3 linked regions of the Neodiprion lecontei genome follow. The protein of the gene in region 2 purifies or fractionates together with the protein of the main gene of each other region. This does not show direct contact. Links are inferred from orthologs where the notes say so. Each region holds a gene or a part of one and is shown on either strand. Other genes may lie near its edges. The genes, in order: metastasis-associated protein MTA3, chromodomain-helicase-DNA-binding protein Mi-2 homolog and uncharacterized protein LOC107224519.

The links.
Region 1: the proteins of chromodomain-helicase-DNA-binding protein Mi-2 homolog (region 2) and metastasis-associated protein MTA3 fractionate together in Drosophila melanogaster (co-fractionation; 3 studies listed by BioGRID, with this or other methods). This does not show direct contact. The link is inferred for Neodiprion lecontei from reciprocal best matches to the Drosophila melanogaster genes Mi-2 and MTA1-like.
Region 3: the proteins of chromodomain-helicase-DNA-binding protein Mi-2 homolog (region 2) and uncharacterized protein LOC107224519 purify together in Drosophila melanogaster (affinity purification with western blotting; 6 studies listed by BioGRID, with this or other methods). This does not show direct contact. The link is inferred for Neodiprion lecontei from reciprocal best matches to the Drosophila melanogaster genes Mi-2 and MEP-1.

Annotation. Positions count from the first base shown.
Region 1 is NC_060266.1:390,923-396,047, forward strand, and holds the start of metastasis-associated protein MTA3, read right to left. Parts: upstream 3,218-5,125; 5' UTR 2,326-3,217; coding exon 2,220-2,325; intron 987-2,219; coding exon 919-986; intron 699-918; coding exon 605-698; intron 1-604. Other genes in the region: uncharacterized protein LOC107216873, read left to right, coding at 3,875-3,944, 4,087-4,485, 4,579-4,774, 4,882-5,097.
Region 2 is NC_060261.1:40,134,620-40,139,713, reverse strand, and holds the start of chromodomain-helicase-DNA-binding protein Mi-2 homolog, read right to left. Parts: upstream 3,404-5,094; 5' UTR 3,260-3,403; coding exon 3,223-3,259; intron 830-3,222; coding exon 732-829; intron 548-731; coding exon 425-547; intron 326-424; coding exon 35-325; intron 1-34. UniProt on the Drosophila melanogaster protein: ATP-dependent chromatin-remodeling factor which acts in nucleosome-remodeling by catalyzing ATP-dependent nucleosome mobilization. Involved in regulating transcription. Plays a vital role in development.
Region 3 is NC_060261.1:3,447,957-3,453,206, reverse strand, and holds the start of uncharacterized protein LOC107224519, read left to right. Parts: upstream 1-1,893; 5' UTR 1,894-2,023; exon of another isoform or gene 2,024-2,201; intron 2,202-2,743; exon of another isoform or gene 2,744-3,779; intron 3,780-3,795; exon of another isoform or gene 3,796-3,980; intron 3,981-4,108; exon of another isoform or gene 4,109-4,298; intron 4,299-4,576; 5' UTR 4,577-4,600; coding exon 4,601-4,673; intron 4,674-4,743; coding exon 4,744-5,250. Other genes in the region: uncharacterized protein KIAA1143 homolog, read left to right, coding at 1-80, 289-421, 592-764.

The sequences.
Region 1 (5,125 bases), on a different chromosome or scaffold from region 2:
AAATATCAGCAGTCAAACCTTGGTCACACAAATAACATGATATTTTGGCAATGAAAAAAATTATAACTCTGCAGGAGCTGGAAGTGGATAATTTTACTCCTTCTGTGTATCACAATCAAACAGATATATGGTTGTAAACTATTGCGGACAGATAAACGCTCCGCCAAACCAAACCCAAATCCTATACCATTACATCAACGATTCATACACTCTGGGCTGGAAAAGACAGTATGAAAGTGGACAGTGGTGAGGACAGGGTATAGAAAAAAGAATTCCGAATAAGGTAAATACTACTCCCGATAGCTTTTCCATTGCCTCTTCAAATAGATCGATACAGTTAGCCCCATTTCTTCTACTACAACTCATCATGCATACTTTGCCAAAATTTTCAGCATCTCATTACTACCGCTAATTGATACCGGAAGAGTAGGACCAGCCTATTTTTTAAATATGTACAATGGCATCATATCAAAATACATAGATTATACTCATTTCTAGATACTTTTCAAATTAATGTATGGAATTGGTATAGAAACAAATGATGGATGATGCCTTGATGAAAAGGTAATTTTTATACAAATCGACTAAAGCAGTGCAAACTTACATTGATGTTTGTCCGCAAGCATAATTAAAGTTGATGGAAGGTCTCGGCGCCTGAAGAAACACATCACCTTTGCTTCAACATTTCCACTCGCCGTCTGAAACATTGATCCAATTCAATGTGAATAATTAAATTCACGCTTACTTCGATTGAGAATATTTATTGATAGAAACTGGTTTTTTGATGACCCAAGGTGGATTCTCTCCACACAGGCCTAAACATATTATTAGAATAAATTTGTCTTCTTAGTGAGTTTGGACACCAAGAAATTACTTTATGTTAACCACTTTATACTTATTACATATGTCTACAAATACCTTGTTCAATTCTTCTATCCTACGAATCTGATAGGGTGAGGTTGACGACGTCTCAAAATACACATAGTCTGAAAAATATCGAAAACAATATCATTATCTCAGTGCCTATCAATTTCACAAAACTAAAGCAAAACCACCGGTCAGTTTTGGTTGGTCGTTGATGTCAATATCATTTCGGCTGAATACATGTAATTTTTTGTTACATCGTGTACACGTTACTATTACTTCTATTAGTACTTTTTTTTTCCTAAGGAATGTACAATTTTCCCATAAATTGACCAACTAAGCATGGACAGGTGTCTGCGCAATAGTAAGACAATTTAAATTCCCTACGCCTGTTCGCACGATAAAGTAACTGCGCTTCAAACCCTGAACCATGATAATACAGGCATTTCTATGCATCATAATTCCAAGCCTCTTTTCATTATCACGTGAAAATAAATGTATCAAACAGTCAAAAATTTATAAAGATAGGTAAAGATATTCGAACCATAGTTTCTTTGCTCTTCAGACGAATTGAAATCTTGGCAGAAATTCTTTAAATGACATACTTTTCCTTCCAAACGCATACCAGAAATATGTAGTGACAGTGACCACTCAGGCTGAGGGAAGGAAGGCTATCGTACAGAGGTAGCGCAAGACACAGAGTCCCCACAACCACCAAATTTTCTCTGTATAAAATTAACATTAATTTCATCGAAGATTGTGACGCTAGAATCTTGATCTAATCATTGTTCAACAGTTTCGATTAGATTTTCATTACATTTTAATTGTATGCTATAATATAAATTTCATGCATACAGAGGCGTATACAGTAACAGTCCAGGGCGACACGTTGTATACAAGAAATTTTTTCATAACAGGAGCGGAGAGGATGGATAATGAATGTGCTCAACACGGATAACAGGAGTAAAAAAGAAGCAGAGATGACGGAAACATGAGTATTCGACGTGTCCGACGCGTCTTAAAATGCGGATGGCGGACGCTGCGCAAGAAACAAACGACCGGCGGCAAGGGGTCGCACGGATATTCATCAGAGAAGCGGCGAGTGTTGGACACTGTGCGTAGATACGTACGTATGCCGATGAGGAGGGGGATGGATGGAAGAAAGAAGGAAGGAAGGAAGGAAGGAAGGACGGAAGGAAGGAATGGGGGGAAGGACGGGGGAGCGGAGAGGGACGCGTACAGGCGCCATCGGTTCTGCCATTTGCAAACATTCATTTTTCGTAGGTGATTAAAGCTAGGGGGAGGATTGAAATGGTCGAAAGAGCGATTTGATGGAATAAAAGAATGCGTCATACCTCCAACCCGGTACATGTTTGCAGTCATGTTGCACGAGTCTTGAGAATCGATTTGCAACGCCCTTTGAAAATTTGTTTTAAAATCTTCGTAGTATTCGGCCGGCATCGGCGCTCTCCCTTGCAAACGCGCACAATCGCGCCACAACTAGGGGACTTTAGCCGACACTTGAGACGCACAGTCGTCGTTGCCGTTTTCGTCGTCGTCGTCGTTGTTGCCTGGTCGTTGTCGTCGCCCTGCTAGTCCTAGTCCTAGCTCCGTTCGTCACTTCATCGTAACTTTTTAACCCTCATATGTCCATCGGTTACGTCCGATTATTATCTATTTATCACTCATACGGCACAGAGAATTATATCGACCTGTGATCACCTGGTTCGACGCGCGCACAAATTTCACGTGCCCGTTAGAACCGCGAGCATCTTTGGCGGCGGCCCATTCCGTTCAACAGACCAACGCCATTTTCATTTTGGCGAGAAAGAGAGCCAAGCACACACTGTACAAACCCGCAACTCTGTGTCTCTCTCTTTTCCACTAGCCCAGCGCGGTAGCTCCTTCCCTTTTTAATACCGTTGAGTCTCTCTCTCCAAAACACACGCGCACACGTTACAGGTATTACATATGACACGTATGTCGATACACATGTATACATGCGTCCGTAAACGAACGTGAAATATCACCCCTCTCGTTTACTCGTCCGCCGAGTCGTCAGCAAGCTAGATTCGTGCTGGGCTCGGCTTGGTCAAGATTCCAGCTCGACAAACGATCCCGCAATCATATCGTTGACGAGTAATGTACTGCTTTCACTTCGACGTTACACGAGTGTCAGAATTCCGCAAGCTTTTGTCAACAAATCGCGCACGGAACGCCGCCCGGTGTGACACGGTACATCACAATACAGCACAACTTCACACCCTGGGTTATCATAGGCGAATGAAGTCATAGGTGCGGAAACTCAGTAGTTATTTAAACCGCTTAACATTGCGGGACACGGGACGCGGACCACGGAACACCACGGCACTGGTCAAATATCATTCTTTTCGTGTAAGTGGCGCTGCGATCGTCCATTTCCGGGTTTCAGGCATGAATGCATTACTTGCTCACCGGCAACCAAGACGTGTTGCAGATACCATGGAGACTAGAGACAGGAGCACGAACTGCTGTACTAAATGGAAAGTAAAATACGTCATTAAAAATTGGGCGCCGGGTGGCGCTGGAGGGCTCAAAAGGCTTCAGTCGAGTGCTCGTCTCTGGCATCGTCCCGGCCGCCGGCGTCGTCTAAATTCCATCTAAATTCTCGCCGCCGTATTGCTTGTATATACTTTATACCTAAGTCTCCATGGTTCCCCCCGTGTTTCCCCCCTCGTGGCTTTGTAAATTGTGCCTGGTCGGGGTCCGCTGCTCCCATTTCACACTCTGCTCGAACTGGAGCCGTTCGAGCCCACTAGCGCTGCCTCGTGACTATACAATTATATTCACTCAACTGAACCGCAGTTCGTGCTCCTGTCTCTAGTCTCCATGGTAGATACGAACGACCAATTACCAATTACCGACGGAGCCAGACCACGTGGATCCCTGAACAACAGATAAGATATTACTCGGGGTTAACTGTAAACAAATATTCTTCTTGTACAATTATCACGGACAATTAGCGCAAAAAATGAAACATCCGATAGAGGCGGTAATCGATAAAGTTTCTCTCAAACCGAATAAAATTCAACCGATTATTGGTAAGAAATAATCCCACCCGACAATACGACACATAGAAAAAGCAATGCTAACCTTACTCGGCACGTACCCATTGTCATACGTCGATTAGGCGATTTGGATGATACTTTTTATTCATATTTAGTCTACAAATTTGCCTTTCAGTTGATTTTCAAAACGGAGAACTAAAGGATGATGAGGCTGTCAATATGGAATGTGGATTGTACTGTGACAACAAAGTCAACAGACAACTACTCGCTCTTTCGAACGGGCAGGTGGTTTATAAAGGTTACCGACCTGATCCTGACGAAGCTCCGACCTATACCATGCTTGCCATTCACAATAGGAAAACTGGCAAAGTCCGTTTAGTCCAAGCTGAGAGATGGCAGGTAGCTCCCGTACTGGACAAAGAACCAAAGGGCGGCAAGGACGTAGATGACGACAAAATTGCTCTACTGAATAAACAGTTTGGTTCCAAAAGGGTTAAACGAAGAACGGAGCAGATAGAGAGAATGAAAATTAATGTCAACTCTGTTACGAAACAACTGGAGGAAACAGTTTCTAGTAAGATTGGCAAATTGATGCTCGAAACGATCTGTTTCACTTCGATAGTATCATTTTTTAATCAAATATTCAATCATTTTTCAACCTTTGCAGACATTAGTATCGAAAGGACAGATCTTTCACTACCGTCGTTGCACGACGAATCGGTAGCGAACACAAATTTACCTGAGTGCAACAGGAATGCTTCCGATGTTCAAGATGTATATAATATAAATGACATCGTTCCTCTGGCTAAACTGGAAACCTTGTATGATGCTGCCAAATCCGTCTTAAATCAAGAACAAGAAGGGTATTGCAATAATATCGCTGAAATATCAATTCAATGGAAAATCAAATTCAACATAATTTATGATAATACTTTCGCAATATGTACATGAGATGAATCGTTCCTTTCAGAAAATCTAAATTCTTTATGGAAACTTTAAAAGTGTTGAGGACGGACGATGGTTGTACAGTAAAAATTGCACTACTGCTTTACCTAGAAGCAGTTGCTGCTTGGCTCAATATGCCAATAAAAGATGCCAAGAAGAGGGGAATAATAATATGTAGCGAATCGAGTGATGTCAATGACTACGTTATACAAACTTATAGCATGCGTAGTGCTCAGGGCAGGTAAACATTCATTGCTATGTTATGAAAA
Region 2 (5,094 bases):
GCATTTTGGGAAGTAATTGTGAGGCAGAAAGTACCTTGGGGTTTTCTTTGGCTAAGAGAGGCCGGACATGTTGTTGGAAAAGCTTATAAGTCGTAAGATTCTGAAAATCTGCTTCAGAATAATCTATCTGTACATCAGTGAGTCCAAATGTACTACAGACTTCTTCTATCGTTGGCATTCCAGTGTTGGGCTCTTGAGGTTGTACTGCCGATGTATTGTGTCCTGACGATTTTCGCGAAGATGATTTTCGACTCTTACGATTCCCAGCATAGTCACTGTCGTCTCCTGCAGCTTCTGTAGGTTCAGCTCCAGCAAAATCACTTTCCTGAAGCGGCATATAAAAATTTGATAAGTGAGCTCTCTTGACGCTTCATGACCAGAACTGTTGATTTGGCATCATTTTTCATCATACTGAAATACTTACGTCTCCGGAGTCAGATTTTTTCTTCTTCTTCTTTTTTTTCCCTTTCTTATCTTCACTACGAGCTTTTCGCTTCTTTCCTTTTTTCTTTTTTCGTTCTTCTGGTTCGTAATCATCATCTTCCTCCTAAGCAAATGTAAGATGTGTAAAAGATAGTTACTTCAATCAGATCACAAAATTTTGACTATCAATTTGTAACAACATACTAGACATTTGGTCGAATATTTATCAATTTTGGAAATAAAACCAAATAGTCAATGCTTGTTATATTATAATATTAATTGTAAAATTTAATTAGAATATATATTACCAGTCTCTGAGACTCTTCAGCATCAGATGAACCCTCGGCAACTGGTTGGCCAGTATTTGGTATAGCAACTCCAGCTTCGTCTGCTTCTTCCTCTCCTATAAGAAGAAAAAAAAGTCAATTGTCTAAATATACGGATAATTTATATATGTGCTATATTGCTGAATAATCTGAGATATTCATCAAAGCTTCAGTTGATATAGATCAATTAAACGAATTATATATATTTGTGATGAAATGAAACATGACACAGGTTCCTGTACAACAAGCTATCTATAGGCAGACTCATACATATAATCTCATCAAGGTTGCCACCTTAGTATGATATTGGGCCAGAGATAGATGCGGTGAGGGTGAAGAGAAGGGAGCATTATAGGCGGGGGGGAGGGGGGGCGAAAATCTGGAATTCATCGTTTCAACAGCCAATCTAATTAACTTGGGAGATTTTAATTTTTTCATGCTATAGCATAGAATTTATTGTTAAATATTGCGAATGACACTTGACATTTTAATGCCTCAAGAAATCAATAATAAGAACCGTTTCATTGGTAATAAGAGCTGGACAAAATTAGCCTTTATACAGAGTAATCATACATATTGTATTTCGTTTCGAATAAAGTATTGAATTTGAAAAAAAATTAACATTAATGGGAATACTGATCATTGCGAATACAAGTAGAAATTACGATGAATCTTTGCATTATTTAGGTACATGTATGCATGATCGACGAATGGAATCGCGCGTACGTATTATATGCATACGGATATACATACATCTATATCGACTGCGTTGATCTTGTTTACATTGCCGGCAATTGATGCTTTCTAGGTAATATTTGCCAGTGAGAAATGATATATTGTAAAAATTTGACGTTGCTAGCAGTGTTTTGGGAAGTTTTATCATTGCAAGTGAAAACAACTGGCGACGGAAAAAATATATTGGCATTATCTACAGTTGCGAATGCTTTGTTACACACACTTGCGACCGCCATTTTGTATTAAGGGCAAATACTCCGGTAGATCTCTTAACCCCTACTTAAAATACCTAACATTCGTTTGGACAGCATTTCAGTTTATATACGAGTTGATGGCCATATTACTGGGCTTGATCTAATATTGAAGTAAAATGAACAAGAGACGCATGTAAATCAGATTCAATAGGTAGAATTTACTTCGCAAATCGAATACGTTGTAAAATGACGTGCACATTTGTTTCACGAGGAAATCTTACCCGATGCGAAATACTTGAAGAATTTTGTATACCTGTGCGACCTTTTCTCAATTATTTCTGTACAACCGACTAAATCCTCTTTATTACAATTACTCAGGTAGTTCAGGCATGAACGTATAAAAACTGCAGCCGACTTGTCGTGGGCCGAGTGATTACACGACGCGAATGTTCGTATAATACTGAATTTTAGGAACGTTTACGTACGAATTAAAAATAATATTACTGGGATTGATCTAATATTGATGTAAGATTAACACGAAACGCACATAAATCAAATTCAATTGATGCAATGTACTTGGCAAATCGAACACATTGTAAAATGACGTGCAGATTTGTTTCACGAAGCAAACTTACCCGATAGGAAATATATGGAAAATTTTGTATATCTGAGCGAGTTTTCGCAATTATGCCTCTACAACTAACTATTTCCTAATTCTTAATAACTTATTACAGTTACTCGGGTAGTTGAGGTATGTACGAAAGCTACAGCCAACCAACCCGTGGTCGGCTGTGTGGTTATACGACGCCGATATCCGTATAATACTGGATTCTAGAAACTCGCGTGTTTACAAAATTACATTCGAATTCTACTGTAACTCAATACCTCGGTATGGCAAATCCGATTGTCATTAAGTGCGATTAAAATAAGACCCACAAGTGTTAGCCTGTTGACACGCAATGAAAAACATTTGGAAATATATTTACAATAACGTTAACCTGTACAAATTTACGAAGATCGGTAGATGATTCAACCGTGTGATCAATGTGAAAGCAATATTATTCACGCAATGCATAAATATAAGTACCATATTCATATTTCGATTTACATATATTTTGCAGTGCGAAATGTAAACTTTGTATCGAAACAGAACATCGATGATATCTGCAAAGGTTGGTAATCAGAGAAATATTTATCTGGCATATTGGGAGACAACTAAGAATTAATAGGTACGTTGATATTAACGTTGAAAATGCAAAAATAATCGAGCTATTATTGAAGAATTTGGACAATTGAAAATTTGGAAGGTTAGCTCGATACTTTTCGAATATAATTATTTTGGTAATAATGTAGGTGAATTTTGATACGAAAAATTGTACCCAGTCGTTATTTGTCCGGTAAAAACATGTGCGAGCTGATTTAGCTCTGAATAAAGTTAAAAATCACGTAAGACAAGTTGACATGGCAGCCATCATATGAAAAGCGCGCGTCCTGCGTGCCTGTGTATAACATTCCGGCAAACTTAACCATTATTCGACACTTACCGGCGAAGGTTTCGTCCACTTCCTCCTCTGAGGCCATTTTCGTATGTTAATTAACTATTTGAACACTGATCACTCACTGAGAGCGCGAATAATATGCAAAAATTCGCGAAAATGCGACATAAACGCGTAGATCCGTGCTCGGCGTGCGATCACTTCTCTTTCGGTGCTCGCCGCTTCGCCTCCAGTCTTGGCAACTTTACGGTTCATCCCCTCCACTTTTACTATTTTTACCCCCACCACTTTTAATTTTTCGGAAAGGAACCCCCCCCCGCCGCCAGCCAACTTTTGACTTGCATAGTAACAATGCGTCGAATTGTTCACCATTGTTACATCTACCAAACTCTTATATTAATTGTTGTACTAGATGTCAAACTTCCAAATTTCAATTAATAAAACCCTGGAATACCATATTGTATATCTCGCCAATAAATTGTGTCCATTCAAATCCAAGCCAATGGCTTCAATGAGTGTAGAATAAAAAATTTACGCAAAAGATTTCATTAACTCTTCTCAGAGAAGTCTTGCGATTGAATCGTTATCAATCATTAAACTTAAAAGAAAAAATACATGCATAATACGAATTTGATCTCCTTGAACTACTTTCAGTTTATTTGTACTACATACAATATCATTTCTACTATAAATCTTATGAAGCATATGCGGGATTTGATGTAATTTGTAAGTATACAACATTTGCTGATTGATAATGTCGCTGACTCTTGTTGGTATTGAGGATAGTTTTTGTATTCTTCGTGAACCTAGGTCGTTGGATTCTGACAACTCGACAAATCGGGAACGTTCAGGATGGATATTCGGAATCCAACATATGTACACAGAGTTGACAATAGTATGGTTGATAGGAGTCTGGTATGCAATAATCAACTGTTTATTAATACGATTCTAACATACATTTAACACTCGTCCAATGAAATTTAATTACCTAGTTGAATTCAACAAAGTATTGGACAATGATATTGATTCTTCGATAATAGATTGCTATCATAATTTTTCAGTATATAAGTATAGTTCTTTCTTTACAATAGATCTAGGATTTGAATGATTATCAAAAAAAAAATATTAACATACATATCAATCACAATCTTGCGCTAATTTTAATAATTTTCTTTAGTTATTCAATTCTACACATACGAAGTGACTCGGTCCAAATAAGGATACGAAATTATACTTAAAGACAGCATGAACTCACTTCTTTTGCAAAATGGAAGCTTGCTGTGGGGATGTATTAGATTAAGCTAGGTACTCTCTATCGCGTTTACGTACTTCTTAGGTTTTGAAATAGAAAAAGGGTCTATACATTGTTCATGCAAAGCTATATCCTCATTTCTTGAAGTTCTTTGCAGTTGTATCTATTCTTATATTATAATAATGAACTAGAGAAAACTTTCAAAGTATGCCAGCTATTGAAGTTCCCCTAATTTAAAATCGTGAGAAAGATCAATGCAATGTTTAAGATGCGTAAGATCTGAGAAAATCAGCTTGCACACAATTTTATGGTACCCGCAGAATTGGGATGTAATCACAAGGGTAATCACAATTTTATACACTCGATTAGTTCAAGAATGTGATTGATAAAATCGGTATTGATTAGTTGACCTTCAAGGTTCTGAGACTAGATATAACATTCCACTTACGGTATTCAAACTTCCAATGAATTTATGTATATACAGACTTCAATATGACGCTTACCTACAATTGTAATTTTTTTATATGTGCGTAATTGAACACTCCCAAGTGATTAATATCGTATTGCGGTAACTATTGAAAATCTAGCAACATACGTTAGATATATATGTTAGATAAAAGTTGACGTTGTCAGGTATGAATTATTGTATAACAACTTTCGTATACGTT
Region 3 (5,250 bases), about 37 Mb from region 2:
TAAAACCGGACGAGCCAAAGTTTTTAAGAGAGTTAAAAGCTAAGGTCGGTTACAAGGAAGGACCTTCTATTGAGACGAAGGTGAGTGAGAAAAAAATCAAACTGATACATATTAATGTAACGTAGGTGAAATGATTCCTTACTTTCTTGGCAATCGATAAAGTTAAATTGCACGTGTCAGTTTAAACTAATCATATTACACTTAGGTATTATGTTGAGCCATGTTTTCGTTCTTCCATTGATTTTTTTCCCTGATTCGATGAGATACAATTGATGTATTATTGTCTAGAAAGAAGCTCTGCCAACAGCCACAGACGAGGATTACGAAGATCGTGATGAAGAGTTACCCACTGTAGTTGTATTAAACAATGGTGATTTAACTGCTGAAGAAGCAGCTGCTTTCGAACTTGCGAAAGAAAAAGGTAAATTTATAGATGAAAAGTTATGAAATTATCTGCAATGCAAAATGGATGGCAGAAAAGATTTCTCAACTTTTATATGTACGATACGATTTTTTGTTTATAATACCTCAATCTGTGTGTAAAATTCAAAAAAAATTTATAATCTATTGTTACTGCAAATTTATTTTTAGAGGAAGCTCAAACCCCAGCAGATCTATCCAAGAAGATAATCTTTACAAAAACAAAGTCTGCACCGAAAGATTCGAAAAAAAATACAGAGACTGAATCTTCGCTTCCCAAGAAAAGCAAAAAATCCAAGAAAACTAAAGTTATTCTTTCATTCAATGAAGATGAAGAGGATTGACAATATTTTATGAAATATTAATGACTAGGGTGACCAGCTTTAATATCAAGTTACCAAAGTGGTAAGTAGCAAATATATGTAGAAAATGTCTCAGATGATATTCTAATCTAAACTTTCGATCATGATAAAAATTTGGCAGTATCATGTTACTTATGCCGCACTAATGAACTAGGTACGCACACATATTATTGCGATGCGAAGCATGAATCTACAAAACTGGATTCAACGATATTTGATTGCAATTTCTTAAATTAGTTTGTGTAACATTAATGTTCTGTAATTTGGCTCATTGATATCATTATCATTGCTATTGTATGACAAGTTTAACTATTAATGGAATTTTTTATTTATTTTTAGAGACTTTGAATTTCGACAGTCATCAGCGCGGTTTTACCCTGAAAGAAAAATGAATATTGATAATTGAACTGCGGATTTTGGATTAATAACGCCGACTTCATGAACTACGTAATTGTATTTGCAGCGACGTGTATGTGATAAAGGAGACTTTGTGTGTATTCACATCTCGCTTTGATATCTTTTCTTGTTAATAAAAAGAATCACGTTGCAGCAAGCAAATTTTTTCAAATTCGTAAGTAAGCACATCGATCACCTCAATACATTTTATTGTCAACTGAGGTACAATATGATGTTCGTAGAATGGTAATATACGATGATTGTAAAATTACACAAAGCATAAAATATCGAGATGAAATCTCTGGCAGACCTATCGAATTATCGATAAGTCTCTAAATGAACTTTTTCGCCCAGTGACTTCGAACTCTTGATCTCAAGAGTAGCTAGTTTTGTCTATCTTGCACACTGTTCAGAAAGCTTCGTTCGAAATTTGAAACTGTTGAGTAGCGACCTTGGGCAAGCGTCTCGATGGTGAAAAATCGGGCTACTTTTTATTGTTCAATGGAGTAATTGTTGTCCTATTGTTGTCGACGAGGATCGCGGTATTTTGTCGATCGCCCGCCCGATTGGTCACCGCATGTGCATATTGTCACGTGACAATTCCGGGCAAATGCTACTGGTTGCGTTTCGCCCCTTTAACACCGAAACTGTCTACGTCACAAAATTTTTGGTCACGTGACCCCTGACGGACGCCATCTTGGCAGTTTTCGAGGGCGACGGGGATAGTAGCGTTGAAGGAGTGTTATCCGTGACGTCGAACACACAAATAAACATAAAATATATGTGAAATAAATTTTTACACAAGGAACAGTGGGTCGGCCGCTTGTAAAGAATAAAGTGTACTCGTAGGTACCCTGGTTAAAGTGTTATAAAGAGGGATATCGTGTGAATTTAAATAGCGCGGCGTTTCAAACATAACTACGATGGATGGATAATAGGGAATCGACATATCGTCGTCCTCTCCGTCGTCGTCTCAGTCCTACTCCGCTCGTGAGAAAACGAGGGGGGGATTCCTATATCAGCGTACGTACAAACGTATTATCGCGTTTCGGTCACAGACATAAGCTAGCGGCTCGTGTTGAGGCCGCAGCTGTTCGGTGTCGTTGTTGTCGTAGAGATTCATTAATACCCTCGCTGTTTCTCCGATCTCGTGTGCATACCTACCGAACTCCTCGTCGCTTGCCGTGCCGCGATTCGGACTCGGTCGCGCTCGGTCCGAATGACGCGACTCGCCAAAGCTAGGGAACCATGGAAATGGCGGGAGTACCTTGTCAAGACCACGTTATTACCTCACATTAACATCGAACGCGATCGAGCGATGACAACCGGCTGCCACCAACACCGCCCCCTTATCATAAACGCAATCTTATAACACAATATCTAGCTATGCTAAAAAAGTACTAGATTCTAACCACCGTTGCATAAAAAAAAAGCGTTCCTACGAATCAGCCAGCATTGAGCGCGACGGTATTTTTATTCCTTTCACATCTTTTTCTTTCTATTTTCTCTTTTCAGTTCTGTTTTTTTTTTTTTTTTTGGTTGTTGTTGTTGCTGTTATTATTATGTCTCGTCTTTTACATCGTTTTCTTTTCCTGCGTACAGGATATTCTATACGAAAAATATATACGTGTACATGCCTACGTCGTGAGCCATGTATTATATGTATGCAGTGCAAAACGTAACCCCACATACCCACCTATATGTATTATGTACCAAATTTTCACCTACAGCTCTGCCCTCTGGTGTTCAATTTTCAACAATATTTATTCACTATTTACAGCTTTTCCCGTACTCCGCGCACACACATGCAAACGCATAACCGCATCTCTTTCCTATTATTCTATATTTTCCATTATCTGCCATACGTGTCGGTATATTTGGACGGTATGTTTGTCTCCCGAATTCTGACCGCGAACCACGTCACAGATGACGAATCTTACGTATTAACCCTTGATTCTTGTTCCCGCTATTTTATCAATCAAAAGAGAAGACAAAAACAAACAGCTGTAGAATAATGCATCGTGTGTCGAAAATGCAAAATCTATTGCTCGTTGGCCAAGTCAACGATATTATGATATTGTTGCCATTGACTGCGTGCAATACGGCGTACATATTTTAAGGCATATCACACACATTCCCGGGTTCATGCGTATAGCGTTGTAATTCAAAAAACTAAACTGGAACGTCTGAAATCCTCCTTCGCCGTACAAGTTCCGTTTAGTTTCTCTTACATGTTAATAATTACTTTTTGTAACATAATATTTGCTACCTTTTACCCGGCGGGAGTACGCCAAAGTTTAGGTTTGGGAGAGATTAGGCAGAGGACGATCAGTAGGTTGTAGGTAACAGGCAGTTAGTAGTAGGTTGTAGGTACTAGGTAGAAGGTAGAAGGTAGAAGGTGGTAGGTTGCCTCCACCTCGTAGGTTGCGTAGAGAGGCGAGCGAGTCGTCGTAGTCAGCGGGGCGTGTAGGTATAAGGTATACTCCACTGCTAGGTCGTTGGTTGGTTGTGTTGGTTGGCGAAGGTTGAGGAGAGGTACGCGACGAAGGTTCGGCTTGTGCTCGGAGACGCGGCTGTTGGCTGGCCAGCTCGCAGATGCAGGTGACTGACTGACGCTTATATACGGCAGTCGTTTCGAACAACGTACACATACACACTGTACACGCACACAAGAGTACCTGCTTACGGATGTCTCTAAGTTTTTTTCCGTCAAATTTGCTTTTTCAATAAATCGCATCAGATGCACCCACCGTACCCGACTGACAACGCCGCATATACTCCGTTGTTGCATCCCAAGTTCACGTAAGAATTACAATATCGCCATGGAGCTGTAGCCTAAAACGCACACATTCTATGCGTATACCTATGTATGCATATATACGTATATAGATATATTTTTTTTTTACTTCTCAAATTCACCTACCATGCAGGCTGTCTAGACTCGAGAGCGTGGCGGCGCGTCTCCGAACTTTCGTCGGCACCGTACTATGTGCACGTCTCGTGTATGCGTGCAGAAGAGAGAGAGAAAACGTCGAGTTTAACCCCATTGCTTGTTCGGCAGTAATAATTTATTGGTTATAACAACGTATAGCTGAGCTGCGGATAATGCATACGTACAATGTATGTTTTACCATGTACTATTCGAATAATAGGAGTGTGCCATAAGAATTTTCAGCGCCATTTTGGAAAAATTTCTCTACCTCAATTATCTTGCTTCTATAGGCACATCGTCATATAATTTAATATCGCGGACGGTGCTTAGAATCTGGACGTGATAAAAGAGACCAACGATATTCAAACCGTTCTCATAACATGTCAAACTATGTTTTCATAAATTTTTTCATGTAAACATTGGTACTATTTTTTTTTTTCACTTTGCTTGTTTTATTCTTTCGCAGATTGATTAAACCAGAAGTGGCCACATGGAAGGCGCTTTAGAAGAGTCTGCGGTCAAGGACCTACCTCGGGACGATCCTGATGCTAAGACTGTCAAAGGTATGGTTGACTGTACCTCGTTCGTACTTTACGGCCAATTGACACTGAACCTTTGATAATGTAATTTCAGACACTATCATTACAAACGGTTTAAATGGTAACTGCGAACCTGATGAAACTGTCGAGGAGCACAATGACTCCAACGACGAGTGCGAACCCATATCCAAGAATGTTATGGACAATGAGGCGACCGACGATGTGGTGGAAGAAACACCGCAGGAGGACCCAAGGGACGAGGTAGAACCGATGGAAACTGAAGCTGATGCTGGCATTGACGAAGCTAAAGAAAAAGAAGAGGATCAGGCTGAAGATTTTCTGGAAACGAAAACCCAGAAGGAACAGCCTAATGAAAAAGATTCCAAGGAAGGCAGCGAAGTTGTTAGGATAATGGAAACTGAGAGTGGGGACAATGTCGACAATTCACTGGATGACACTGAAAATGTTGCAGATCATATAAGTGAGATGGACGATATTAGTGAAGTGTCTGAATCTGAGGATAAGTGCGACGGAGTTGAAAGCGAACATCGGATGGAAATTGATGATGATCACAATAATACCTCGGACGTAGAATGCCTGG